Drosophila melanogaster: one gene and its partners. The protein of the gene in region 1 interacts with the protein of each later gene in a biochemical or structural test. Each region holds a gene or a part of one and is shown on either strand. Other genes may lie near its edges.

Evidence for each region.
Region 2: the proteins of sina (region 1) and ebi form a complex in vitro, tested with the Drosophila melanogaster proteins (2 studies listed by BioGRID).
Region 3: the proteins of sina (region 1) and ttk form a complex in vitro, tested with the Drosophila melanogaster proteins (one study listed by BioGRID).
Region 4: the proteins of sina (region 1) and phyl form a complex in vitro, tested with the Drosophila melanogaster proteins (3 studies listed by BioGRID, with this or other methods).

The regions. Positions count from the first base shown.
Region 1 is NT_037436.4:16,851,146-16,859,735, forward strand, and holds sina (seven in absentia), read left to right. Parts: upstream 1-2,605; 5' UTR 2,606-3,380; intron 3,381-4,773; exon of another isoform or gene 4,774-4,839; intron 4,840-5,151; 5' UTR 5,152-5,272; coding exon 5,273-6,217; 3' UTR 6,218-7,567; downstream 7,568-8,590. Other genes in the region: Zcchc7 (zinc finger CCHC-type containing 7), read left to right, coding at 1-1,071; Rh4 (rhodopsin 4), read right to left, coding at 1,547-2,094; sinah (sina homologue), read left to right, coding at 8,113-8,590. UniProt on the Drosophila melanogaster protein: E3 ubiquitin-protein ligase that is required for specification of R7 photoreceptor cell fate in the eye by mediating the ubiquitination and subsequent proteasomal degradation of Tramtrack (ttk).
Region 2 is NT_033779.5:412,929-419,713, forward strand, and holds ebi (ebi), read left to right. Parts: upstream 1-2,138; 5' UTR 2,139-2,460; coding exon 2,461-2,518; intron 2,519-2,583; coding exon 2,584-3,782; intron 3,783-3,860; coding exon 3,861-4,706; 3' UTR 4,707-5,608; downstream 5,609-6,785. Other genes in the region: CG13690 (uncharacterized protein), read right to left, coding at 5,629-6,672.
Region 3 is NT_033777.3:31,711,514-31,717,658, reverse strand, and holds the start of ttk (tramtrack), read right to left. Parts: upstream 3,793-6,145; 5' UTR 3,390-3,792; intron 1-3,389. UniProt on the Drosophila melanogaster protein: Binds to a number of sites in the transcriptional regulatory region of ftz. Isoform beta is required to repress inappropriate segmentation gene transcription and repress genes incompatible with development of photoreceptor cell fates.
Region 4 is NT_033778.4:14,426,385-14,434,863, forward strand, and holds phyl (phyllopod), read right to left. Parts: upstream 5,954-8,479; 5' UTR 5,710-5,953; coding exon 5,524-5,709; intron 2,361-5,523; coding exon 1,344-2,360; 3' UTR 952-1,343; downstream 1-951. UniProt on the Drosophila melanogaster protein: Essential adapter component of E3 ubiquitin ligase complexes; involved in R7 photoreceptor cell differentiation, embryonic nervous system, external sensory organ development and specification of particular muscles.

The DNA of each region.
Region 1 (8,590 bases):
AACAGTCTAAACACCAATCTAGGAAACGCCAAGAGCCACTACGTGCGCATCAAGGAGCTAGAGGGGATGAACACCAAAAACGGTTTTAAGATGGCAGAAAAAAAGCGCCGCCAGCTTAACATGATCCTCGTCGGCCAGGCGGGACTCCTGAATGGCAAAACACATCTCGATCAGTTGCTAGTCTTATTGCGTCGCCTGATCGATGACTTCTCGCCAGATGAACACGCCACGCCACAGTTGCGCAATGAGATCGAGGAGCATTGGCGAATGATCTTCTCGTCATATCCGCATCCGAATTACGACTCTCTGCTAAACAGCTATGGACGTTTGGATCAAAAGAATCGCTTGCCCTCGTTGCACATAGATCCTGTGCTGTTGGGACTGCAACAAAAGAAAACGCAGAGTCAGCCGCAATCGCCTAGTAAGGGGCCACCATCGCCAACGCCTCTCCCACCAGTTCGGCAGGACATGGCTCCACCACCACCTCCTAAAATGTCAAAGAAGAAGCAACGTCAAGCCCTGGATCAGCAAACACAAAATCAACAACGGCAGCAGCAACAGCAACAGCAACGTCTGCAGCAGCAACATCAAAACCAACAGCAACGCTTGCAGCAGCAGCAAAAGCAACAGCAGCAAAGTCTACAACAGCAACACCAGCAACAACGTGTGCAACAGCAACGTATGCAACAACAGCAGCAGCATCAGCAGCAAGACAACAACCAATATCAGCAGAATCTACGACGTCCACAGATCGACCAGATGCCCTACAATAATCTCCAGCAACGATCACGATCCGATCTTCAGCTGCGCCATACTCTCAATCCGGAGTGTGACCGTCTGTTGAGTGAAATGGATCACAATCAACCTGGCAGCATCAACAAGGACGCCAACAAACCGTCCATGTTCTGGTCACGCGAATCGCTAAAGTACCTCGATGATCTTTTCAAGATGACCTCCAACACAGAGACCGTAGAGCGGCTGAAACGAGTGCTACAGCGATCGCAGCGTGGTCTGCTGTCGCACAACGATTACCGAGCGGTCATTCGACTGCATTCCCTGATGTGCAACTGAGGATTAGCCAGGGTCATGGAATTTATTTCCTGGTGGGTCACCTTCATTTTGTTTAACAAATGCCAACAGATTTCACAATGGGTATCTTAAAGATATTACCCAAAAACCGAATAAATACATAACTGACTATTTTGAAAAAAAAACTCGATTTTATGATTTTATTAGGAATGAAGAGGCTCCAAATAACTGTGTAAATGTGTTTAGGATTTGAGTTGAATTTGTTATTTAATTTTTAAGTGTAAGTGTAGAAATAGTAACAAAATAATGACATCAAAGAACCGAATTTCAAATAAAAAACGGGACTCATTTTCTACTTCGTTTGCAATAAGTTACTATTTATTTATTTCAAACTCAAGAATGTCACACTACAAATTATAAAATTAATGTTATACAGTTTCGTTGTCGGCATTTTATACTTTTTCCTTGGCTTTCATGTTACATGGTCAGTTGTCTTAGAGTAGAGTTGTCCTTGGTTCTATGCAGCGGTAGTCTGTTGCTGCTCCTGGGTGGTCGTGGACTGCGCCGAAGAGATCTCCCCAGACTTTTCGTTGACTCCCAGCCAGGGACAGCGCTTCTGCAGCTCCAAGCGGTATCTGGGGTGACTTATGGCATAGACGAATGGGTCTATGCACGCCACCAGTTTGCAGGTGCAGGCCGGGATCATCGTGGCTCCTGGTGTAAGCAGACTCTTATCCCCGAATGCCCCGATCAGCGACATTACGCCGTAGGGCGTCCACGACACGAAGAACAGGAAGCAGATGGTGATAGCCGCCTTCGCAATCCGTATCTCCGCCGTCTCCTTGCTCTTGTCCACATTGGAGCGCAGCGACTCCACGTTCATTTTCTTGGCCTGCTCCCGTAGGGCCTTTTCGTGGCTGAAGACATGGCCCACGATCTGCGAGTAGTAGTAAAGGATCATCAGCGTGGGACACACGAAGCTGAAAAAGAAGATGGTGCCCACAAACAACCGGGTGTCAAAGTTGTCCGAAAGATAGTCGAAGGAGCAGGACGTGAGGTAGCCCTCTGGAAATGCATAAAAGTGAAGAAGATTAATGGGATTTTTGGTATTAGGATATTTATTTACTTCATATTCGTAAAACGCAATTTTACTCTTTCGTAAATTTGTTTCTTCGAATTTCCCGATCCAAACTAAGTTCTTAAACATTCCCGCCAATGATGTGACACAAGGTCAAGGTATCACCAATCAATATTTTTATTTAATTTTTTGTATTGCCTATATTATTTGATTGGAAATACTATAAATCATAAAAAAGTATTTATTAATGAATTATTTTAAAAATTAGGCTTTAGTTGTCAATAAGAGTAACAGACTACATTATTAACTTTGATCCTTTAAAAATTATGCGCCTGATTCGATTTGTATTATTTCAAAACTGATGTTTTCCTGTTATTAAATTAATTTGACAAACGTGGCAAGGCTGTTAAGTAATCGATGACAGCAATTGATAGCTACCAGGAGGCACTGCGATGTTGCCGATTGCGTGTAATCGACTATCTGGAATCGAATAGACGACAATTGGGGTTCCATCTCTGCAACCGACGCGGACATTAGAAGAAACTCAGTATAGTAAAGTAAATTAATTAATTAACCAGCTAAAGGCAGACATCACGCCCAAAGTACATGGAGAATGCCGAAAAAGACTGAATTCCACACCGCGCAAGGGCAAGTGCAATAAACGCCGACTGCGACGATCAAAGAACGCAATATAGAAAAAGTGAGACACACGAAAAAAACCCATTTCGCTGCCTGTGTGTAAATGCAAATGGTTTATTTTTGTGCAGCAACAACAACAACACAACATCAGCAGCAGCAGCAACACAGAGGCAGAAAAGGCGAAAATAACTAGTAAAGCTAAATATGAATAAATGTGTATGTGTGCGGGTCGCGTTAAAGAAAATTAGATAAAAAGCCAAATGAAATTAGCTCACGCCTGAATTTCGAGTTTCGGTTCGGTGCAAGGTGAACGAAAAGGCGAAAAGCAATCAAAACAGTTTTTCCATTTTCCCAGTGTGCGTGTGCAGTAGCAAAACCACCTGCATTGGTTATATATATATATGCGGTTAAAAAAATAACAAATTGCAACGTAAAAAACGGAACTTGCACCTAGGATATATACACACACATGCTGGCTGTATGCGTGTGTGTGTGTGCATGGCCGTAAAGGCTGACTGACTGATAAAAAAGGAAACAAAAAAATAACAAGAAAATAAAATATACACATACACACACACACCAACGCAGCGGGGCACCAATACCTCGGCACAATTTCTTGGAGGCAGCCTGCCATGTAAGTTTACATATCAACGATTATGTATTTCGCAGTTGTTGTTGCTGTTTAAACAGCAGCCTAGTCGCACTTAATGGCGGCATAAATTAAAGAAAGATAGTCGCATTTCGCTTTGCTCCGCAACTTACGTTTTCTATTTTACCATTTTGCAACTCATGAAAGCAGAAGCTAAGTTAATTATATTCATGGCTATGACTTTTGTGGCAATTACCATTTTTACCCCGTATGAACGTTTCCAACGGTACGCAACGTAAACGAACTGTTAATTATGTGTGTGCGATCTGTGTCTGTGTTGTAAGTGTGTGAGTTTCCCTCCCCGCGGCTGCCATCCCCTACCGCCACCCACCCCCTACACATCCTCGTTGCATTTGTTACGTTACGCACTCTTCATTACGATATTACGTTTATGCGGGCGATGGTACGAATTTCATAATGGCAAATGTTCAAATAATTTTTCCAATATATAGGGTAAAGTATTAAACATTTGTATGTTCATGCGTTTCATGTGTTTTTGTTTTGGGTTAATAAGGAAACATATTATTTATTTTTTAGGTTTGAGTTTGTTTTCGAATATAAACAATATTACTGAACTCCTTTCACACAAAATTTTGATAGCAATCATATAGCAAATATATTCCCGTTAGGAAAGAGAACAAGTTTTGTTTGTACATCAAAGCTAAACAATTACGAAAACTTTATATTATTATATTGATATTTATCTTATAAACGCACCAAAGCACCCACAGCATATTGTTCACACTAATGTGTGCCCATTCTGTCCAAAGTGGACAAACCCGTGAAACCGAACCACACCCATTACAACCAGCACGACACCCACCATCGCACAATCCCGCCATGGGTCGACGTCCCTAATGGCCGTCCATCAGCGTCGGCTCCGTCAGCTCCGCCTGATAAGAGCCAACATATTTGCGCCGTTCCACACGTGCCGCCAAGAGGCTTTTGGGCTTGGGCTCGGAGTTGGAATCGGAATCGGGCCTTCATTTCGATCGGAGACGTGACGGCGACCTCGGGCTGTGTCTTTGCTTTTCGCAGACCAACTCCGGTTCGATACGTTCCGCTTTAAGTAATTGCTTAAATGCAATTCCCATACACGCAAATGCGTGTGTTTTCTTTTTTCGGTAATTACAACAATTGGGAATCCACGGCAAGGTTAAGGCCAGGAATGATAAATCGCTTTGGCTTTTCTATTGGGCGGCACGAAAAACGAACTACCTAGTAGTAGTGATTACGCGAAATAAGTTTTAAATTAATAAGGCTCAAATTAAATTATTACAAATGGATAGTAGTTTTGCTGGGCAACATTTTTTATAGCAATCGAGTAGATTTTGCTTACACAGTTTGCATTCATTTCATTTCTATTACTTCATGGAAAAATATTTTTGCCTATTACTCATGTCCCAGTGGGCACAATAGTTTGGAATGAACATTCAAATCAATAGTATGCTCCGAACTTAAGCCGCAAAATCGATAGAAAGCTCATAACATATGTTCAAATTTAAACCAGCATTTATGCAGTGTGTTATACTGTGATTTTTTTTGTTGGTTGATATATGTTATTTTTGGATTAACTAAGCCTAATCGAAACAAACTATTTTTGTTAAGATATCTGTATGGTTTTGTAGGTTATTGTTTTTTGGAGTTTCTTATCACTGAACGAACAAAATTACAAAAAAAAGAAAAAAAAATTATACATATGCTATGACTAAATTGACCGCATTACTCACTGACCTGTGATTGTATCTCATTTTAGACAGAAGCACAAGAAAGCCATTGCCGAAGCCACCGGGAGGGCGAAGAACCTGAACCTGGCGAGAATTGCAGGGACCCAGAAGAATTGTAGACACATTCGTGCCGTTGCGAGAACCCTTCCAATGTCCAATAAAATCAACCCGAAGCGCCGCGAACCGACAGCAGCAGCAGCAGGAGCCGGTGCCACGGGAGTGGCCACCAACACGAGCACCTCGACCGGATCCTCCAGTGCCGGCAACACGTCCTCGGCCAACACATCCTCGTCGTCCAGCTCCTCGCTGTCGTCCGCCGGTGGCGGTGATGCGGGCATGTCCGCCGACTTGACCTCGCTGTTTGAATGCCCCGTGTGCTTTGACTATGTGCTACCGCCGATCCTGCAGTGCTCCAGCGGGCACCTGGTGTGCGTGTCCTGTCGCTCCAAGCTCACCTGCTGCCCCACCTGCCGCGGTCCGCTGGCGAATATCCGCAACCTGGCGATGGAGAAGGTTGCCTCGAACGTCAAGTTCCCGTGCAAGCACTCCGGCTACGGATGCACCGCCTCGCTGGTTTACACGGAAAAGACAGAACACGAGGAGACGTGCGAGTGCCGGCCCTACCTGTGTCCGTGCCCGGGCGCCAGCTGTAAGTGGCAGGGCCCGCTTGACCTAGTCATGCAGCATCTGATGATGTCGCACAAGAGCATCACAACGCTGCAGGGCGAGGACATCGTGTTCCTGGCCACCGACATCAACCTGCCCGGCGCCGTCGATTGGGTAATGATGCAGTCCTGCTTCGGCCACCATTTTATGCTCGTGCTGGAGAAGCAGGAGAAGTACGACGGACACCAGCAGTTCTTTGCCATCGTTCAGCTGATCGGGTCGCGCAAGGAAGCGGAGAACTTTGTCTATCGCCTGGAGTTGAACGGAAACCGACGCCGGCTCACCTGGGAGGCAATGCCGCGTTCGATCCACGAGGGCGTCGCTTCCGCAATTCACAACTCGGACTGCCTGGTGTTCGACACGTCGATTGCGCAATTGTTCGCCGACAATGGCAACCTGGGCATTAACGTGACCATATCTCTGGTCTAAACGCACTGTCAATTCGTCGGGTTCTTTCATTTCTTGTGTTTACTATTCCGATACAAATACATATATAGTTTATAGCCCTCTGTTCGCATCAGGCGTCTAACTCGTGGACAGATTGTGAGTCTGGAGATTAAGAAGAAAGAGTTTTGCAGAGTTGTTTTATAAAAATGATTCTCTATTCTAAGAGCCACTTACATGCATATGTATATATATCTATGGAAATATCAGGCTGCTTCGATTATCACATTCGGCACGATATCGCAGTTTTCTTTGATTTTTAAGCTAAGACACTCACAATTTTCCAAAGCGAAATGGAAAGCGTATTAAAGCAATTGCTAAGTGATGTTCAGTGTTTATTGCACACGTTCGTTAAACCTGTAAAACCGCGTTTAAAATTCGTATTTTCATTTTTAGTTTGCACATGACTGTGTGTAAATCTCACTCGTTTGCAGAAAAATGCCAAATATTTTTGGTGAGATTTCGCAGATTTGTATAACACACTTTCCTGTCGAATGCGAAAATCGTGGCTGACCTGTATGTTTGTATGTTTAATCGGTTCGATTGGTACTCTAGTTCTAGGACATGATTTTTCAGTTACCGCACACACAATACTATATATTTCAAAGTTTCAGTGTTACCCGTTTTGTTAGTTCATGGGGTTCTGCTTTAGTTTAATTTAGTTCGTAAGGTCCACACACCTGGAGCAGAGCTGCCTGCGCGTGCCCACGTGCCCACCACCTACTACAGTGAACGCTAGGAACACACAGACCCACTCACCAAAACGAGGAGAACAGCAAGAAAGGCGAGGAGGTCACTCATCCACTCGAACATGTACTGCAAAGTCTAGTTTAGTTAATGTAAATTATTTTATACAATACTTGTAAATGGTAATAAGTAAAACGAACAGTTTAACGAAATTAACAAACCTAATAACCCACAAAGAAAAGTAATATTTGATAGCGATAATCTGTAATAACTCGAGAGTTGTTTGAAAGTTGCAGCCTAAACGAAACTGCGACCCGCAATTTTGTTCATGCCAAACCATCACAAAATAACAAAAACACACTAAAAAAAAAAGAAAACATTTTTTTTCGCAATGCTAAAAAGACAGTTGCCCCTTCCCATTTCCCCCCAAGTCCCCCCAAACATATAAAGCAATGTTAATGTTTAAATTTCTATCTAGTTAAGACGATCTCCCCGGTTTGGCTCATGTTTTGGTTTTGATTTCCATTCGGCCAACGTTTCCCAATCGAAAACGGAAGAAAAATTAATGATTTTAAGCATCTGCACCGTAATTAGCTTTTAATGCGCCGATTTACCGCGCCACTACCATATGAGATCACTCACACAGACACAAAACTACAAAACTGAAATAAACATGATTAGTAAAAGTAAACAATGCTCGTTAATTATTGAAATTAATCTGGGGGAAGCTGAATTACAAAGAAGAGCTACGCCACTTTATAAACTTGTCGATTTAAATCAGTTATCTGTTTAATTTGGATTATCTTTGAGATACTTGGGTTACTTCTAATGCGTTTTAAAACGTTGCAATAATAGATGGCACAAGTTTTTAGTGGTGCACCGCCGAAGCATCTTAAAGATTTAGCTGGATTGGTATCTTACTAGGATACTTAGGCCAATTTCAAAAATAAATTTTTAAGCTGATTTTAAAATGATTTAAAGCAAGTAGGCTCCGAAGTAAAAGTAGCTCATTATACTTTTAGCTTCGTTGTATTGTGGTACAGATTGTATTTTCGAATTCTTTTAAGCAAAATTTCAGTGTTCAGAAAAAGTAAAAAAAAAGTAAAACCATCGGCACTCTCATTCTTCAGAATCGTTTGGTTGTTAGGTCTTAGGATTAATAGCTTGCGCATTGATTGTTGGCTGAAGCACAGATGTCTGTTCGCAACTCACGCCCCCAGTTATCGTGGCCGGAGCGGGTAAGTCCGCAAAGGACTATTGACACTCCAACGGCATCCGGAGAAATGTTGACTCGTCGTCAATCGGCACCAGCGTTGGTCGTGCCGCCGGAGGAGACCACGCACGTTGTGGTGGTCAAGCGGCAATCCCCGGACGCAGCCGCTGCCGGAGAACTGGTGCCGTCTAGGCGGAAGGACTCGGTGGCTGTGCAGTCGGGAATTGTGGCCACTGGGCCATTGGACACAACACGCAGTGGTGCAAGAGACGATTTTCTAATGGCTTTGCTCGAGTGCCCGGTGTGCTTTGGCTACATAATGCCGCCAATTATGCAGTGCCCGCGTGGCCACCTCATCTGCTCCACCTGCCGCTCAAAGTTGACCATTTGCCCCGTCTGCCGGGTGTTCATGACCAACATCCGCAGCCTGGCAATGGAGAAGGTGGCCTCCAAGCTGA
Region 2 (6,785 bases), on another chromosome or scaffold:
AACCGAGCATACAGCAAACAACGAGCTGTGATAATAATACCATACAGTGAAGCGTCGGACTCTTGCGCACACACATATGCACGCTTCGAAGTACTACAGTAAGTCATCAAACTATCAAAATTGTAAGTATTTATTAATACTGAGAGGCAACCGATTCACATTGATATAACTATTTGCTGTGTTGTACCCATATATATAACTATATATATAACTTTCTCATATCTTTCTAATGTAACGACTACGAAAACATTTACATAGGAATGGAGAAGAAAAGTAGCCAATATTTTGTAATTCATCTGGCAGAGAGCTTACTGTTCCTGCGTTTTTGTACCGCCCCACGTTTTTGTCAGTGCGCTGCTCCTGGTAATTGATCAAGTAATGGCGCTGATTCCGCCCCTATGGAAAATCTCTTGTTGCGACCCGCTCAATTGGATTTAATGCTGGTTACCCAAGAGATCTGCACTTACAGTTCCTTATATCCGATATAAAGACGGCCAGGCCTCTCATGCCATCCCCCCGCACCGGCGCCATGGTAGTTAGCTTGTTAATTTTCGCTGGTTTTATGCAAACTGGGGGCGCAAGAAAATCGTCAATGGATGGCGGCCGAGTCTCGAGGCGTTCTTATCGCTCGAACTCGACGTCGGACCCTAAGATATATAGTTGCTCTCCGCTCTGGTTCTGCAAAGCTCTTTTTACTTCGATTGGATCTCGGCCGTTCCTTGGGACCTGAAAGGGGAAACGATACTCTATTTATTGTGGGTTGTGGGAATGGGAAAACTTAGTATTATGATTACGTTTTAGTATTTGTGTTAACAAACGTATATTATTCAAACAAAAGGTATTTTGGATAACAATTTGTATTTAGCCAGGGAGTAGCTTATTGTGCATGCCAACACATTGATACAGCTTCTATTTTGAAAGTCCGTATTGCAGTTTTACTTTTGATAACGAAAACGCCACAAAATATGTATGCACCACACATTTCACTGAGCATCAAGCGCTGATAACGATTTATATGTATAAAAAATCCAATGTTTAATAAACTCAGAACTTTTAAACGGTAAATAGTGGACTACGTGATTGATTTTCCGGCCAGTGCACCCAATGGCTGGCGAACTTTGACATTTTCTGGTGGAAGTAGAGTGTACCCCCGCATTTTTGGCAACCGATTTATTTTCAACTTGGCAGCGTTTTGCCCGTTGATAAAGATTCTGTGACCTCGCTCGCCCACTTTTTATCGCCTGGCGAAGTCGATGTGCACTTGGGCATTATTATTTGGATTTGCGCGACCACCGGCTTTTGTTTCTGTAGTATACTTTTTACTTTGCTTTCCGTTTCGTTTTATTTTCTGTTTTTCACTGCGCTCTTCGGTTCTCTTCTTTCTTTGCTTTCATGTCACGTCACTTTTTTCACCGCTGGATGACGAGGGCGTTTTGCCCAAAAAAAAAAGCACCGAAGAAGCCTCCAAAAACATTAATGGGCGTATGTTAGCTGTTCTTTTTTTTTGAGCTTACTTTTCCGATTTTTTTTACTCGCCAGCGGACAAAATCGGTTAGCGTTGCGGAATTTCTGTGGCGGAGCAGAGAGAGTAATCTCTGACTTCTGAAGTTGGCTTCGCTTGGAATCGGAATCCGGGGTGTTGGCTGCGGAATGTTTGACCCTGCGTGTTGCACTTTATGGAACTCCAACTCGCTGGAGCTTCGCCTCGCTGATTTGCCGCTAATTTGTTTGTTAACTATTACCAAGTGCAGGGCAATTCACTAAAATGAAAATTTCTATTGATTTTTCTTCGCTCTCGCTGCCTAAGAGTGGAGCCATCTAGCGGGCGCGGGTGGAACGATTGGTGTGACCAGTAGAGCGTTGGGTTGAAATACAATGATTACTTCGAGGGATGGGTACACAGGGATGGACGAAGAGAGACGACAATTCGCTTTAAGAATTTTTTACCTTTTGCTCCAAGCAGAAATCCAAAAATATCTTCTTAATTGTTTTTATGGCTAATAAATTTCCGTTCTATCCTTTAAGGTAACGCTTGGTGCAATACAAAAATATGACTCAAATTTGATTAAGTTGTTGTCAAAACTTGTGACGTCACAAAACACAAGGCTGCGCAACCTCTCGCAGCGCACACCTTGAGATTACTCCGCCATTTTTTTGCGCGTTTCAGAAACGCGTTTTCGATCCCTCGGTTTTATTTGTGGAAAAAATATGTGAAGTGCTCTTGCGGCAAGCAGCAAACTGGCAGAATTGAAAACACAGGACCGACCAGATCGATCCAAGTACCAGGAGTAGCACCGGATACCGTGGCTTGCGCCGAAGTGATAAGCGTGCCGAATGCAGACGCATGTGTTACGCAGCACAGTTCCGATTTTCGCACCGTAAAAACATAATTGGCATTGGAGATAGGAGTGGATTTTGGAGTGCGCTAGTAGTAGGAGAAGGAGCCAACCGCGTTCCGTCATGAGTTTTTCCAGCGACGAGGTGAACTTTCTGGTTTACCGATACCTGCAGGAGTCGGGTGAGTAAAACCCTCCAATCGCAAGATAACAGCCCGCCCTAATCTCATGCAATCCCGTTTTCTAGGCTTTCTGCACTCGGCCTACGTGTTTGGCATTGAGTCACACATCTCGCAAAGTAATATCAATGGCGCATTGGTTCCACCTGCCGCTTTGCTCACCATCCTGCAGAAGGGTCTTCTGTACACTGAAGTGGAGTGGAGCGTAGGCGAAGACGGCGAGGTGGCGCGACCCATTGAAGGACTCTCTCTAATAGACGCTGTCATGCCGGAGGTGAAGCCACTCAAGCCCATTGTGAAAACAGAGCCGGGAAAACCCGGGGCAGTCGACTCTTCTGCCCCTGCCGGTGGCAACCAGAACAACAATGCCAAGCCTGAGATAAAAATAGAACCGGGTACCGGAGTGGCGGGCTCAGCAGGTGGAAACAAAATTGCTGGCAGCACCACGGGCACAAGCACACCAACCGATCAGTCGGCAAGCGAGGTAGACTCCAGTGGAAATGCGGCAAATAATGCTGGCGGCACATACGCCGGAAACAATGGAGCTGGAGGGAACCAGGCCAGTACTGGAGGATCTAATAGCACAAGCACACCAGCTGGTGGAGATTTGGCAGCACCTGGGGCAAGTCAAAAGAAATCCCAGAACTCGAATGAAGCGGGAAGCTCATCTAGTGGCAATGCAGGCAATGCAAATGCTACCAGTACCGATGATGCAGCCTCCTCAACATCCACAAATGGCAATAGCAGCACTTCCAGCAGCGTAGAACAACCTACAAGCGGGCTGACGCCCGCTGGTGGAACTGTATCAACCTCCAATCCGGACGCAGCAGCATCGGGCGGAGCTTCGACTGCAACAGGATCAAAGGCGCCAAGTGGAGCGGTTACGATTCGCGTAGGAGCCCAAGGAAACAACGTGCAGTCTGGTTCGTCCAATGCTCAAAGCTCTGCTCCCAGTGGAACCATCTCCTCGTCTACCAGCGGAGGTGCTGGGACTCCCGCAGCTCTTGTTCCCATGGACATTGACGAGAACATCGAAATACCCGAATCCAAGGCTCGTGTATTACGCGGCCACGAAAGCGAGGTGTTTATCTGCGCATGGAATCCTAGCCGGGATTTACTGGCAAGCGGTTCGGGAGACAGCACTGCTAGGATATGGGACATGTCCGATGCAAACACTAACTCCAACCAGTTGGTGCTGCGCCACTGCATCCAGAAAGGCGGCGCTGAGGTGCCTAGCAACAAGGACGTCACCTCTCTGGACTGGAATGTAAGTCGAAGATCTTGGCACTTAAGCCTTGCAAAGTTTGATTTCTGATCCTTACTTAATCTATTCTCGTTTTTGCAGTGCGATGGTTCCTTGCTCGCCACCGGCAGCTACGATGGTTACGCCCGAATTTGGAAAACCGACGGTCGACTTGCTTCTACTTTGGGACAACACAAGGGTCCGATCTTTGCTCTGAAGTGGAACAAGTGCGGCAACTACATCCTCTCGGCTGGCGTGGACAAGACGACGATCATCTGGGACGCATCCACGGGCCAATGCACCCAGCAATTTGCCTTTCACAGTGCTCCAGCCTTGGATGTGGACTGGCAGACAAACCAGGCCTTTGCCTCTTGCAGTACGGATCAGCGGATACATGTGTGCCGGTTGGGTGTAAATGAACCCATCAAGACCTTTAAAGGACACACAAACGAGGTGAATGCAATCAAGTGGTGTCCGCAGGGCCAACTGCTGGCGTCCTGCTCTGATGACATGACCCTCAAGATCTGGAGCATGAACCGAGATCGTTGCTGCCACGATCTGCAGGCTCACTCAAAGGAGATCTATACGATAAAATGGTCGCCCACGGGGCCGGGAACCAATAATCCAAACACAAACCTGATCCTCGCATCCGCTTCGTTCGATTCCACGGTAAGACTGTGGGACGTGGAGAGGGGCAGCTGTATCCACACGCTCACCAAGCACACAGAGCCAGTCTATTCGGTGGCCTTCAGTCCGGATGGAAAGCATTTGGCCTCCGGCAGCTTCGACAAGTGCGTACACATTTGGAGCACGCAAACGGGACAGCTAGTGCACAGTTACAAGGGCACGGGCGGAATCTTTGAGGTGTGCTGGAACTCCAAGGGCACTAAGGTGGGTGCCAGTGCCTCCGACGGTAGCGTTTTCGTGTTGGACCTGCGAAAGTTCTGATTGCCGGAGCAGCCACAACTGGATTTCGTGTATTGAGCCAACGCTTAAAATAGTCAAGATTCCTTTTCCAGCTCATTATTTGGTAAAAATGAAATCGGTAGTTTTTCACTTTCTTACGGAACGAGAAGTTTTTACTTTTGATTCAAAAATTGCATTTAACTATATTTTTTAAAGAAGTGAAATATGATCAGTTACAATTCTACCAACATAAGTCGATTTGGATCTGGAGTCCGGACCTTAGGTAACTCCTTTCTTAGCTATCCCGCCCTGCAATCGTATTTGTAATTGCTTTAAATTCTAATTAGTTCTTTAAGGTATACCTCTTGAGATGAGATCCTCCCGCTTTTGTCCACGTCTATTTCGTACGCTTAGTTTCGAGTCACAAAATATCGATATGCACCTGGGATTTTTGGGGGCTTCAACATGGTTGTTGTTCTCTTCAGATCAGCGGGATGCGACTCGCCTCATTTTAATCTTAATCATAAGCTCCATGTTTCTAAGGTCGTCCCTTTTTATACGAAAATCGTTTAGTATAACTTTGCATTTTGTTATTGTATCGATCAAAGATGCCAGCCAACTCCCCGCCCTCCCCACCAAAAGTCCTTTACCCAATTCCACAGTTGTCCTCCAAAAAAGGGATGCCAAGAGATCAGATCAGACCGATTCACGCATACATTCAGAACAGTGTAACTGCAGTCCCACGTAGTCAGTAATCGAACGTAATTATTAAGAACACGAGATTGGCGGAAACACAAGAACATCAGCAAAAATACATTAAAGATAAAAATTAATCTGTTTTCGTTTTGGGCCTGGGTGTTTTTTGTATTTTAGCATTTTAAAATTTAATACTAAAGTACTTAAATTAAACTTTATTCTTTGTAAATATAGATACTCCTGAACTTAATTTTATTTTCATTTGTTGCTAAAACTCCATGACACTTTCCAGATGGCGTTGCTTAAAGAAGCGGCACTCCTCGCGAATTATTTCGCCGGATTTTGTTGTGCCCTTAAAGAACTTTGTGAGCTTGGTGCCGGCGTACTTGGGCTTCTCGGAATCCGGCTCGTCGAACTCCATGTCATAGGCCTTGTCCGCCAGTGCGTTTTCCGCGGTGGACCAACTGAAGCGCACAAGTCGTGGAAATCCAAACACTAGATCGATGTACTCGGTCAGAAATCTTCTTGTGACCGGATCTCCCGGATATCCACTGCCGAACTCGTTGTCCTTAATGACCAAGCCCTCGGGGAAGCTCCACACCTTGAGGGCATGATCACGGGTAACTTTGGCGCATATACTAGCAGCAGAGACTATTGGATAGGTGGAGTCAGCTTTTTTCGCCACGGTGATTTTAAAGCTGGGGAAACGTTTGAGCAACTTCTCCTGGTACTTCTCCGGCGGACCCACCGTATCCACATAAACCTCGGCTATATTGACGCCCGCATCGATCGCCTGTTGGATAAGGCCCATGGCCGAGTCCATGGAAACTTCGTTCAGGGAGCACTTCGACCGCCGGTACATGCTGGTGCTGATCGTGTTCGGCGATATGATCTCCACGGCCCAGCCAACGCAACTGGTCGCATATTCCTTGGTGTTGATATCGTTAAATATGATATCACGTTTCCCCTCGGTTAGTTGTTTGGAATCGGCGCATCCCAGGTCCTCTAAAGCCTTGTTACTTTCCAGTGGACAGTAGGAGATCCCATATACCATAGGTCCCAGGACGGGACCACGCCCTGCTTCGTCCACGCCCAGCATGCACGGCTTATCCTTGCAAATATCCGGAACATCGCTGAGGTAAACCGTGTTGCGGCTATTCTCCTTGCCGGCTATAAATGGACCCAGGGCCTTCAAGGAGCTTATTTTTCCGCTGTCCTTAAAATCTACATCATCGGGCTCTTCGTCGTTCTCATCAATATTTTCTATACATTTTTTTTCTTTTTTTACAACTACGTCTTCTTGGTCCGACATTTTCGCGCGCTTTTTTTTTGTTTACGTTTAAACGACGCTATGGGCACACTAATTGTATACATAAAGTTGCAGTGTGACTCATTCGTCATTATACCAAAATATCTTTTTTTTAA
Region 3 (6,145 bases), on another chromosome or scaffold:
AGGATTAAAATATACACAGCTTTTTTCTTATTGTCATGTGCTCTTTGCTTCCCTGCGAGCGGTACAGTGGGGCATATGCGATGATTTTGGGTAAAAAGGATTTTTGAGGATTTGGCATAATAGTTATGATAAATCTCAGTACTTCTTGGACGCTTATATGTCATATTATCGTTTTGAGCTCAACATGGAATTTCAACGGAATTTCTGTAAGGACTGTCAGGAATGTATATTTGTTTTGAGCTACAACCTTCAAGATTGATTGTAAGTCCAATTATGAAAACAAAAAGGGCAATGTGGAATTTGAACACAGCTCCACTGTGCCCGCCTTGTATCCCCAACCTCCGGTTGTCCCACACACGGACAAACGGAACGGACACCGTCCCCTGGCAAAGCTTAAGGGTAGCAGAGGCGTTGGCAGCGCTGCTTTCAATTACATTTCATTTGCATTTCGTAGTGTGCTGTCTACCTCTGTGTGTTTATTTCTTTTCGCTGATGTTGCCTTTTCCCGCACAAACACAGCGGCGTACTATAAGTTCGCAGCCTTAAGTCAAATGCCTGGCCATCCGCTCTCCTTTTTGAAATTCGCTTTTGTGGCTGCCATTCGTTGAAGAATGCAAAATAGGAAACGGCTGGCAGATGAACACATCCACCGCCGATTGTGTGGGTGAGTGATTTTTGAGTTCTTCAGTTTTTCAGGCACCACAGGGCGTATACTTGACGCGGACATTGAGCTGCGCCGGCAGCGGCGTCGACGTCGTTAATTGAATTATAGTGCATGCGTATGTATGCTTGTAAGGCCTGCAAAAGGCTTAAAACGGTAAAAAAAATATTTAATTTCAGCCAGCAGGCGGAAATTGTGAAATAAGCCTAACTACGTGTTTGGGGTCCGGAAATTACTAGAAATCCTTAAGAAATAACATTAGGTTTTATTTGGTAATTGTTCTTTAAATTTATTATGAATCTTTGATATCCATGTAAGTAAAAATTTATGATCTTTGGGCAACTGTAACTATATCTGGAGGGTTACCACTGCTGCCTTCTGGTTTCCGTCTTTTGCTTAGCTTTTTTCGGCCCATTCTCTTTTCGCGAAGATTTCTGCCTGAGTTACAAAACATATTTTGGTCACTGACCTTTTCTGTTTCTTGTATTTTTCGTTGATTCCTCATTTTTTTGCTGACTTTTGAGCGTTTTTTGTTTGTGTTCCACTTTTGAATTTAGGTTTTTGCAGTAGTCGGAGTTTTTGTGCAGATTGCTAATTAAAAAAGGAGATATATGGGGTACACGCGCGACTTGTATGCTATCAGGATGGGCAATCGGGGCAGCAGAACCCCGAAAGCGAAATACCTGGCGTTCTCCGCGAAGGTGATTCAAATCAGAAATGCATTCAAGAAAAATTTCATTTACTTGTAATGCCACAAGCCCCAGAATATGAAAAGGAGTATCGTGTGGATGAAAAGGTATACCACATGAATATACACGGGGAAACCGCGCACAACAGACATTTATTTAGCATGGCAGCTGGCACTTGCGAATGAAATAAATAAATATAAAATCATTTTAAATAACAATAATCAAGGAATGTATTGTGCAAATTTGGTTCCGAATAATTGTTGAATACGAAAAAGGGGCAGGAAATCGGCGCAAGATGGCAGATACATTTAAGTAGAATTTGTGAAAGAGTCACGTGCACTAAACCAATGCACCGGAAAAATTTCCTGTATTATTTCAATCATTATTTGTTAAAAATGTTTTAACATTTCTTGCCCTGTGTACTTAAGGGAGAGTGAGAGAAGAATAGATAAGAGAGTTCTGCCTTTTCCTATCCCCCGCTGATATTGCGTATACGCCGCTTGGACTTTTACTGTTTCGACTTTTTATGGGTTTCTACGAGCGAAAACAACAATGCATATGTTCAGATCGCGTTTGCGTTGTTAGTCATGTCATCCTCTTTCTCTTTTCCCTCTTTCATTGCTGCTTTAACCGTTTCGATCGCCGGCTAAACAACAGTTATAATTCGAGCATAATGTTAAGTGAGCGCAAGGTGTTCACAAGTGTCTTTGTGTGTGTGGGGCAAACAAACAGAAAAGCTTTCGCGGAGAGCGGGAAATATATAGTAAAGAGCGCATAGTGCTGCTCTTGTCGTTTCATTAACAAAACAACCGCAAAATTTATGTGTGATCTGAGACTGGGCATTCGTTTCCTTTTCGCCCCAATACAAAGTATAATTCACGATTTTTGTTGTTGCTGCCACTGTGTGAAGTGGGTTAGCGAATTAAAAACAACGACAGAAGTAACAAATAAACATAACATACAAAGACAAATGCAGATCGGAGACGAAGATTGTGTTTTTTGGGCTGTGATCTTGATTTGCATAATTGAATTTGTGGCTTAGCGTGGAGCACAGGTGCAAGTGTAGAGTTGCCCCTTGGCCAGGGTTGTCAGGTTTCCTTCCTCCCAAGAATAGTAACCAACGTATAGAGTTGTAGCTCACTTTAGTTATTGCGATTAAATAAACGTAAAGCCGAGTTACACAATCAATACATTGAGTCCAAATAATTTGTGCAGTGCAAACATGTTGCGTACATGGATTACTCATTCACACATTCACTCCATTGGTTCATTCAGAAAAACACCGCAAGTGTTGCAGCCACTGGAAGCCACCAGAAGGCACTGGAACTGGAAGAGTGATCAAAAGGGGTGCGCCGGGCGAATGACGACTGGATGTGGAAGTGGGGGATAAAAAAGGAAATGGGCAACTGCAAATGACAGAGATCACTGAAGCACGACCGACAAATAAGCGGCGGACGAATCTATGTATCTAGTATCTGGTATCTAGTGTGGCGGCATTACTCCCCATGTGCCGTATACGGCATGTGTGCATTTGTATCTGTGGCTGTACCACTATCTGTATAAGTTGGATACAAAAGCGTCTTTCCAATAGGCGTGTGTTGGTGCATGTACTGAGCGTGTGAGCGGGAAATTGTTAGAAGAAAATGTATCTGCTAGGCTTTTAAGACTGCTAGATTTCCAAAACGACCCTTGGCCAATTTGTCAGGCTTTTATTGCTATAATTCTGTAATCCAAAAGCTATTAACTGCTGATTTTGTCATCAATTGTTTTCGACTCCTGCGATGTCCTGTTTAAAGTGATTAGATTCTAATCCAAAAATATAATTCAGTGAACATTCAAATCTTTAAAAAAATCACTACGGACTCCAGAAACAAAAGCCAGTTAAAGAACTTTTGAATCTTAATCAATAAAATCCTCATCTGAGATTCAAGATAAGTCTTAAGAAGGTAATAAGAATACTTAAACTTGTCGTTTAAATTTGAACACTTGATGATTTGACCTTTTTCGAAGACTATTTCGTGGATAATCTCACCACTTACCAATTTTACAAATATTCTTGGTAATCCGTTTTGCGGTTTCTTCGGCGGAAGAAGGCTTGCAACACTCGAAAGTACTTGTTGTTGTTTCTGTTTCTTCTCTTGTTGTTGGTTACACGTAATTGGCAACCGAGGCGAACACGGAGCCGAAAGCGGGTTGCGAAAAGGCAAAAGGCAAAGAAATCAGCTGAGGAAACGCCGCGCACGAACCTCCAATCAGAACTGAAACGGCAGGGATGTCGACGTCGACGCAGAAGCCATTTTACCGCATTTGTTGTCCCTGAGCTGAGCCCCAAAACCGAGAGAGAGAGAGAGGCAGAACGAGCACCACAGAGAGCCGCTAAGGTGGATACACAAAGCCGAGCCGAAGCCTTACCGAAAGCTTTGATCACACGGCACGAACTGAGCTGGGAATAGCATGGAATATGGGAGTATGGGAATTGGTAGTGGTAGTGGGCGGTATTTGTAGTGCTCCCGTTTCACATTGCTCTCCCGCTCGCAGGGCACCAAAAACGCAAGTGGATGTGGACGGATGAGCGGACGAAATGGAATGGCAAGAATCGAACATTTGAATGGGGCTCCAAATGGTTAAGAGAACAGCGCAGCCGCTGCTGGCAGCGAGAGCGAGGGAGAGCGCAGTCCCAACTTGACATTTCCATTTCGCCGCTGCGTTGGCGCTCTGCCCTTATGCTCTTTCTTCTCGCGCTCTCCCGCTGATAAGCTGGTGTTGAAAACAAGTCTCCTGCGCTCTCGCTCTCTCTCACCGCCGTGACCTGCTGCTCCACCTCTGCGCCCACCACCCCTTCGCTTCTCTGCTGCATCAGCGTATTACGAAATATGACAACAATGCAGTTTGGTCGTCCTCGTTTTCATTCTGCCGACACAGCGGCTGCTTCTTCTTCAGTCCCATCTTCACCTCTCTGCTTGTGCCTGCTCAGCATAAATGCCATCTCTCCGCTCTCTTTGGGAACACCGGAGTATGGAAGAGTGTGAGAGAGGGGGGGGGGGAGAGAGAGGAGAAAGAGAGAGTGGGTGGCTGGTGCTTGTTTGTTATTTTCTCCGCGCTGCACTTGCAAATTGATTGTATTTTAATGAAGTTCTGGTGCCCGCTAAAAATAGTCAACTCTCTATTCAAAGGGGAGGATCGTCGCCGAGGGGCGTGGTGCGGGAATTTCTATCTGGGCGCATTCCAAGTGCAGCAATATATCGGCAGTAACTAATTCCAAATGCCAGCTATTACGACAAACTGGTTTGATCGGAAAAGCGTGCCTCGTATGCTCGACTCTCTTATTCGCTCAACCTCCCACCGACTGCCCCGCCCCCCAGCGCCCCTTTCGAGAACGCTCGCGCACACTTCTAACTGAAACCGAAATGATTCCATGTTTTCCCCGCTGCACCGACTTTAAGTTGAATAATTGTTGCTGGGGTTGCCCTGCACTGAGAGAATTGTTTGCAACGTAATTGTTTCTTTACGTTTTAGAAAATATCGCTACCTTAGATAATATAAACTTTATACACTAGTTTTGCTGTGCACGATGGCACACGTAACCCACTGGTCAACTGCCTGATGGGTCTTGGGAGCGTGTCGCTTTTTGGGTAACCCCCGGGACGGGGCGTTACCTGATCCGATCCCAAGGGGGGCTGGTCGTTATTAGGGCCCATTTGAAGGATCATTAGGCATGCATGGGAAAGACCGTCAATCAATGCGTGTTCTTGGGAAACGGCAACAGTTCCCCGCATCTAAGATTATATATCTGGCATAGATATGGGAGTTCTTTGACTTTGGCACCGCTGATAGTGGAAAAGGATTGAGGGACCAGACTTGGGCGACAGATAAGACATGTCTAGGAAGGCCGTTATCTCTCTCTTTATACGCTGATAATGGAAGCCTTAATCGCTTTCTTTAAGTACAATCGGTTAGTTAGGTTTGGTTTTAAACATATCTACATATGTGGACCCTCTGTTATGAAAGCGTGTAGTATGGGGATAGCTTTGAGCAAGTTATACGACTGGTGAAAAATTGGCTTGCATAACCCGCCATACCCTCCATTGATCTTTCCTTGCACACCATTTTATTGTTTCGCAAGCTTACATTAGCTTGGAAACTAATTTCGATGGAGCCCACAGACAATTACGTTTATTCTCGGCATGAATCACCGCTGAAGTGATTCAGCAGGGCGATCCAAATGCATCCCTCGGTTGCCTAGGGCCCACCCCTTTTAACCCCGCTCTGTAGCCAGACAATTTGCATTGCCTCGTGAAATACGGTCAGTGGACGGGACGAGTATCTGGTATACCCGCTTGGCTAAGCACTCTCTCTCGAAGGGGAACTGCCCAGAACTGTTCTGTTCTGGGACCGCGATTCAACAGGTTTGATCCGATCTGGCCGCCTGCCGGGCCATTTACTACTCGGCTTGGATTTTTTCCCGCTATTCAAAGTGCCACACAGCTGAAATAAATTAATTGCTTAATTGTTGTTGCTGGCTTAGCGGCATTATTTGAGATGAAATTTGCTTTTAATTAAAAACTCTCCACAAGGCGAGGGCGAGTCTTTATTTCGCCATTGAGCACGGTAAAAAGTATTGCATTATTAGAGGAAATGTTAAATTACCTTTGAATATTTGGCGGCTTATACATGTGTAGCTATGTGGTTTTCATGGTATCTGCTGGAATGGGGTTAGTTCTTAGAGTTTCGCCCTGTGTATACTCTGGGCTTTCCAACCTTCAGAGATGCCTGTGCGTGGGGGTTTTCCTCTTCC
Region 4 (8,479 bases), on another chromosome or scaffold:
ACGCGATTTCCGGAAACTGCACGCTCTCTCCGTCTCCTTCGACGTGGCGGCAAGTCATCTTCAAGTTCAGAAGGCACGATGAATTTTATTTATAAATAAAAGTAACCTTAGTCGCCGTCTCAATAAGGCGTACTTGAAGTGCGCGTAGAAATTTCCGCACCACATTATTAACGTTGCCAGTCATGTCGGCGAAACCACAATTGCCAGCCAGCCAGCCAGCCAGCCAGCCAGCCACTCAGTCATCAGTTCGTGTATTGATGAAATGCCATATTGTAAGCCAAAATAAGTATACGCACCGCTGTCTCAGTTGCATAAACAACAACAACAACGACGATGCTGACCTCCACACGTTCGTTCTCACTACGCAATTGCCTAAATCAAATAAATACGCTAGAGCATCAGAAATCAACAATTACACATCGGACTTTCGCACGCAAGGCGAAAACTAATGATATATGTATGTATTTAAGAGCATGTCGTTCGTTGGTTCTGGAATATCTTAAAATGGATTTCTAATGTGATGAATTTTCTTAGCTTTTCTATTAGTTAACTTATTAGCAAATATATTGCAGAAAATTTTTAAGTAAAACATAGTAATTTTAGTTAATTTAACAATTAACAATTTAATTTCTCGTACTTCATATTTTATGTTAAATATTGAAGAGAAATATTTTCTGTAGGAAAATTTTCTGCAGTTCTACATTTTGATTTTGGCGCCACAAGACAGAAAAATTAGAGCATACTTTTTGGCGCCGTGAAGAAAACAAGTTGGCAGCCCCAATTTAGTAACGAGAAAAAGTGCATACTTTTCAACGTAAAAATTTAATTGGATGAGTAACATTTGGCGGGAAATGTAAAATTAATTTGGTTTTCATAAAGATCACTCCTTATTCCTCGGAATAAATAGAAAATTCATACCACCCGTACATTTAAATATAAAAACATTCATTTATATACTGATTGCTTTTGTGCTATTTTTATTTCGCATGTTATTTTGAAATACTTTTGTCTTTTGGAGCAAACAAACAAATTCAACTACATTGGCTCGAGGGGATTCTCTTTTTTGTTTTTTTTTTTGGGTAAGTCAGGGATTTGCCTACGACTAATATGTATATTTTAAATATAGCTTTCCACATCCGTTAACTTAACATTCTTAGGTCTTTTGTTGTTTGTTTTGTGTGTGTGTGTTTTTTTTTGTCCGCTAATTAATTAAGGTATTTGACTAACAATTAAAATGTAATCGAGGTACTATTAACTTAGACATTTGCTAATGCTCATAATTTGCGTATTGTGCATGCAATTTGACTATTTTGTGTGCGGGGCATCAATTGGACCCATCGTTTTTAGACGAGGCTAATGCTAAGGCCCATTGGTAATCGCAGGCCAGCGAGTTGGATTGAAGCTTGGTGGGAATTTTGGTGGCTGTTTCCTTGTTTGTGGTGGCTCTGCGGTTCCAGTGGCGCTTCCGCCTCCTGCACCACTTCCAGTTCCGCTCGGCCATCCACTTCTTCCTCCTCCTCCAGCTCCAGCTCCATTTCTTGTGCCTGCTGGTTTTCCTTGTTCTCCTCGTGGGTAACCTGATAGCGGGCAGTTGGCAGGACTTCGGATATGGCGGTATCGAATTCCAGCAGTATCTCATCATCATCGAGGTCCCGCGTCCAGCGCGGCGCCTCTTTGAGCGGACTCATGATCTGCGGGAGTTTCGAGCAGGCGGGGTTTGATTCTGCTGAATATGCGGCGGGTTCTTCCCGACTGAGTGTGGTTCCCAGTCGACGGAACATGGCCACTACTTTGCCATCCACACTGGGCTGCGGGAATCTTTGGTAAGTGGGCGTGGATTGTGTATTGAGCACTGGTGTGGGTGTAGCTGTAGCTGCCACATCCTTAACCAGTCGCTCCACTGGTTTCCGGCGCGGCGCCACACACTCCACCTTGCAGATCGCATTGCTCCTCTTCTGGCCCTGCGGCCTAAGACAGACGAACACCGACTGCTGATTGCGCTTCTTGGGACTCCGCCGCAGACTCTCCACACAACACTGGCGCAGCACTCGGCTCATCCGGCTGACGGAGGCACTGCGTCTGCTGGCTCTTCGCTTCGAATAGACTATGGGTGCGGGTGTGGGATTAATTGGAACTTGGGGCTGCAGTTGGGGCTGCGATTGGGGCTGCACTCGCACCGTGGGTCGAACCATCGCCACCGGACGGAGCTTCGTCCTTTCCTGCTGCAGCACACTGTTGCCCATGTGCGAGGGACTTTGGCTCTGGCTTTCGGCCTCATTGCTGTTGACCGCCTGCAGGGAGTGCCAGTTGATCAGCCAGTTGTTGCAGCTAAAGCAGAGGAATTTGTCCTCGTTCAGGGGCTGAAAGTAGAGATATATAGGGAATAGATGAGTACGGGTAGTAGAAGTAGTTTTATCTAGACTATAAAGTTATTGCTAATCATAATATACTAATCATAACTATTCAAACTCATTTGGTCCTTCAATTAATTTAATGGCTGAGTAATAACCCATTTTATAAATTGCTTACTGCCTTAGACTGATATGTAGCATTCCAAGTAAAGGATAAAAAGCCATTAGAAAGAACCGAAGGCGGTTACATTGTAACTTGCAGAGCCACGAAGGCCAATCATTTATTGATTATAGCCATGAAACCGTTAAGGTCATCAGGAACCAACCTTAGAATGAAAATTGACCCAAATCCGATTGCGTGACTCGCAATCTGAAGCCAGGCATAACCCACAGAATAAACCTCTAGAAAATTACGATACGCCTATGCACTTAGTGATCGCTCGCGACACCCGACCACTACCACCACCACTACCACTAATGAGCATCCAGCCAGAGGTGCAAAAAAAAAAAAAAGACCATAACAATTCCGAAAAACAACTGCCAGACGACCCGGGCATATTAATTACCCAGCCAGACCTCAGCATTCCTCGGGTATCAATAATTTCGTGCACCTGCCAGCAAAAACTAAGCGCCCAGCGGTAGCAGCTGGCCCAAAAGGTACGGAAAACCAGTAACCAGTAACAAGCCAAAGGGACATTCGCTACTTAGTTCGAGCCTCGAAGGAAACTCGTTTTCGGCCAAGAGCCACGCGCCCTATCCATATATATAAAAAAAAAAAACACATAATGCCGAAGTGGAACCGAAGCGGGAACTGGGTTAAAACCCCAACTATGACGACCATTAGGCACGCGCATGCGCGACAGCTGCGCCGAGAAATTAGATAAAGGTGATCGGTACGAGGGTCGGGGAACCGAAAGGATCGACCAGGATGGCGATAGAGGAGGAGGAGGTGTGCAGGGTAGAAAGGATCAGGAGCGATTGTGGCTGGCTGTTTACCTTTGGGTTCGGCGCTGAAAAGGTGTGCTCCAAGGGCCATGTGTAAACGGTATAATAATGCAAATTGCAGGCCAGGTGCAAAGCAGACAGAAAGCCACACAAACACACACACACACACGCACACGCACGCACGCCGATCGCAGATGCACTGCGAGAAAAAGGTGTGCACTCCTAAGATCAGTTAAATATGGGCACATGAAAAATATGTTTAAAAGTACTTCTATTAGTTTGAAAACAACTCTTCGTGCTTCTGTTAATATAGCTGCATATTTACTCAATTTGTAATGTTCCTTTTTTCTAAGTGCATAAGAGTGGGAGGTGGGGGGGCGCAGTCTGATAAGGTAATTGCAACTGGACTTTATGGCACTGTCATTCAGAACTCGAGCTTATAGAGAACCCGGCGAGGGTGTTGTTCCTGTGGGGGAGATCGGTTGCCAGGCTACGATCACGGCAGGTGGTGTATGCCCACCGTATAGGGTTTCGCAAAAACGGTTCAAACGAAATTCTAACGACGTCCGGAGGGGGTGAATATATATATATTCTATGTGCATAGAGGGTGAGCTTCTAGTGTCTGATATTGCGGGGTTAGCTGAGGGTTTTTGTTATTATGAAATCGCATTGCGTGCGTCTCGAGCATTTCGTAATTAAATTGATTGCTATACACACAATACTAGTTAAGCACAATGCTTCAATTAATCTAAGACCGAAACATATATTCCGAAAATATGTGGAAATACAATCTACCAATATCTACCCAATATTTTAACAACCTATGTTAGCAACCACTTAATATTGTTTATGTTTTTATAGGACTTCGTTTTAAGAACTCTCATTCTGACTTTGTAATCCAATTGAACGGAAACCTTAGTAAAAACTATTTCCCAAAAATACCAAACTAAACGAAGACCTCTAAATGGAAATCTTGTCTAGCTTGGCACTTCTGGGACTTCGGCTGAAAATTCGGGCATTTGAAATCACCTTTGTAAACGCTATTCCAAGGGTAGATCCTTTGTTTGGATTTGCGCAGCTTAAGAAACCGGAATTTCTATCCAAAGATATTTGGCATTCTCCAAGGGTTCAACCACCAATGCTGCTGGGGAAAATCCCTTCGTCTCACAAACAATAAACTGTGAACTCGCATCCAGGTATCCGAGTTCAATAGTTGATATGCGAAAAAACTCACTCGAGACCATGAAGAGCTGATAAAGAAGCAGCAGCAGCAGCAGCAGAGGATCCAGAAACCCCGATGGGTTGGATTTTGAGTGCCGACCGGCAAATACAGCTGTCGTTTTGGGATATGGAAACGAAGAGAACGAACACACCGGGTTCGTTCACTGCCCGCAGAAATTGGAGCAATCTCGGCAAATCCACAGCACATCTGCCCTTTCGAGCAGGTTTATGTGTGCGCCGCCGGTACAGGTAGTCATGGGTAGTCATTTGAGTGAGGAGGAGTGCCTGTAATCCGAGACCCGAAACTCACTTCCACAGAAAAACAAGCCCAGGATCTTCAGCCAGGATCGATTTCCCTGGCCATCTTCCGCTGTCGCATTTCCCACACACACACACACCGCACTGCTCGCATATTAGAACAAGCTGTTAAAAATTATGGGAAAGGAATCGAACTAAGTGGCGGCTCTGTGGCACTGGCACATATGCAAAGTGTCCAATTACCAAAGGTTGTCGGGGAAATGCATCATCTGCTCGGCGACAGGATATGCAGTTTAAAGGGCACAGGAAAAGGTGGGCATACCACAAAACTAATAGGGATAAAGGATTTTGAAATTTTCATTAAGAAAGTAGTTTGTGATAGAACTACTAATTCCGAGACCTTAGTTCTTTGCAAATAATCACTTAAAAATATTAGAAAACTGCGCTCGAAATCAATCATCAAATAGCTTGCCACTCTTTTTTTCCCAGTGGGCTGCTGTGAGGGAGTTACCTGTACCTGCCTATAGAAGTGCCACCCATTTTCCCATTTTCCGCCCAGCGAAGTTCATCCCCTTTTAACCCAAAAAAAAAAACACACACGGATACACGCGCAGAGGGAAAACTTTGTCCGAAGGACGTTCCTTCGTTGCATGACTCATCCGCCGAGTTGCCCCAATATCGATTTTTATACGTTCCCCGCCTAACTGAGTTTTTATTTTTTTTGCTCTAAGTTGGGAAAAATCCATACCTGAAACTTGAATTTCGCCTGGATTAGCTGAACGATATTGGGTCCGGAGCGGGGCTCGTAGATATTGATCGTCTGGTTGGTGTGGCAGCCGCAGATGAGGCAGGTGCGTTTCAGGTATTCCGAGGAGGCGGCGGGTGCGGCAACGGCCGCCGAAGGATTCGCCTGCTGCTGCTGATTGGTAGACATCCTGGCGATTTTTCCCAGCCTCTGACGTCACCAAAGGTCGCACTAACTTCTGCCGATATTCGACTTTCGCACTCGTATTGTATTTGTATTTTCACGATTTTTTGGGGTGCCGCGAAAATGTGGCAAACAACAAATGCCAAGCGGCGAACGCGTGCGACAGAGCGAGAGAGCGGGGAGAGCGAGAGCGGGACAGCGAGCTACGGAGCGGCACGTCCTTCGCGTTGCACGCACAAATTTCGAATGAGCCTTGCTTGTCCTCATCGCATTCTGGGCACCACTTTCAAAATTTGTGCCTGCGGGCTGCCACATCTGGCAAATGACATGCGAGAGTGGCGAGCGTTGTCGGATCGATGGGAAAAATAAGAGATAAAGGATAAGCTAGACACTAATGAAATAAAAGTCATGCAAAATATATCATATTTTCAAATCATATATATATTTTCAAATATAAAACAAAATTTAAAAATATTTATTTATTTTTGTATAATTTTTATACTCAAATGCAATTTTTTGGGCTCAGATTAAGCCTGGTGTTTTTGAAAAATGAAAACATGTACCATATAACCCAATATTGCAGTGAGAGAAAAAGCAACCATAAGGGTGACATAGCCGAAACAAAACAAACAGGCGGCATATGTTCACATTTAAGGGCGCCAAAAGGGATGTTGACTGCTAGGATGACTAGTGCGAATTCTGAAACAGGAAACGGATAACAAAAGGCAGTGCCAGTGGAAATATGCAGCAGAAGTTTGACAATTTAACCACGAATAAAATTCTGATGACTGATATACTTTTATGCCAAATAAATATTTATAAAAAATAAGGAATAACAATGTTAATGATTCTTAACCTGCTGATAAACCTTATTTTATAATTTTATTGCCTTGCAAGGCGAATTGCCAAATTCATTCAGCGATCAGAGCCTCGCAAATTTTATGAATGAATCGAAAAGCACCGACAACTGTCTCCGAATATTTTGACAACTTGACCTATCTGAACTTTCGACACTCAAGCTCGTCCCTCGCGTCCAGTCCTTTGGATTTGCTTAAGCCGCCGAAGGAATCGGTGGCAGCTGCCATTGAGCGACAAACGCCGAATTTAATGTGGACGGCCTCCTCGACGGGCACTTATCATTATGGAGGACCCGCCGGCTCAACACAGAGCCCATATCATCCGCGGCACGAATAGCTTGCAGCATGTGCGCATTGTGGGCTCATCAACAGGCTGCCGAGTGCAGAGTCTGGTGCTCCCCCCAAACCCGTCGATCCTCCGCAACGGCGACGAAGCACCGACAGCAACGGCAGCTGCTCCAAAAACAAAAAAAAAAAAAACAAAAACACAAAAGGTGCGTTTCGATTTTTCGTTTTTTACCCATTTTTATGCGGCATTCGGGCAGTTCAATCATATGTTCTCTGTGTTGTTGCTCATTTTGAGCCGGTGGTGTTGCAGCTTGCAACCGGATTTCTTCGTGGCGACAGATGTTTCTTCTCCTTTTTTCTTTCGTCCGAACCTTCTTCGTCCGCTCCTCCGATTTGCGACGATCTTCTCAGATCGCAGACACTGGGTTAACTGGCGCTGCTCGCCGCTACTTTTACTACGCATCTTCGACGATAGTAAACAATGGAGTAAGGAGCAGGGAGTAAGGAGTAGGCAGTAGGGAGTAAGGAGTAAGTATGGGGCACGGAGGTTCCAAGCGCAATCGAGGCCTCTGATGAATGAATACATGAATGGAATCAGGCGAGGGAGTTGCGTGGCGAACGAATAATGTATCCGGAACTGGACCCTCGATCGATCGATTTCCGCGACATATGCGTATCAAATTTTCATGTAGATCTCTGGGATCCCAAGAGAGGAAGTGCCCAAGGTGCCAGGATGAGATATCGAGGATAAGAATGGGATAACGAAGTTTTTTTTGGAGATTTATGGTTAAGCATTTAAATATTTATTATCAAGATCTCTATTGTGATCCTATCAATATGTTTAAACAAATGGTTTTGGTGCATTTGAAAAAATTCGGTTTTTTGTATTCCCATTTTTAAATCACTGCTCTTATTTATTTTACTTCGACTTTGACTACGCAATTAAACACTATTAAAGCTAAACTACACTACGCAAAACTAAAGGGTACCGTCTAAAAACAATTATTACGCCATTGTTTGTTTATTAATTGTACATCAAATTTTTTTAATCTCTTATGCAATTTGACTTTAAGAGGAAATATATTTATTTTAAACATACCGTTGCCTTTAAGTGTCACACCAGCGACATCTATGGAGTCACAGCGCCAGTCGCTACCAAACAGTTTTCAAGAAATTACTGTAGGTGGCGCCTAACATTCAAAGCAAGGCGAATTGCGGCGGCGAAAAATGAATTCAATCGGTCTAGCATAATTTTGGTCAGTAATTGAATTTCTTTTGTTCGCATTCAGCGAAAACCATCCACAAGATCTATTATTTAGAATCCTGAATATCCAATAAATATTGAAATATGTAAAAGATATATCGTTGTAAGCGATTAAATATATTTTAATGTTATATCCAATACAATAGTATTACTAATTCATCTTCATCAAAATATATAATTCGTTCAGCTGTCTTACTATTTCTGTACTATGTGCAATAATATACCTTTATATGCTTCCAAGTTCTTAAAATGTAATGTAAAAAAAAAATGAAAAAAATATGTAAAAACACCACTCCAGTGGTGAGTGCACTCACAATTTGCCAACAAATAATCCGCTTGGGAAAATAAGTTTTATTTTCCAATTTTG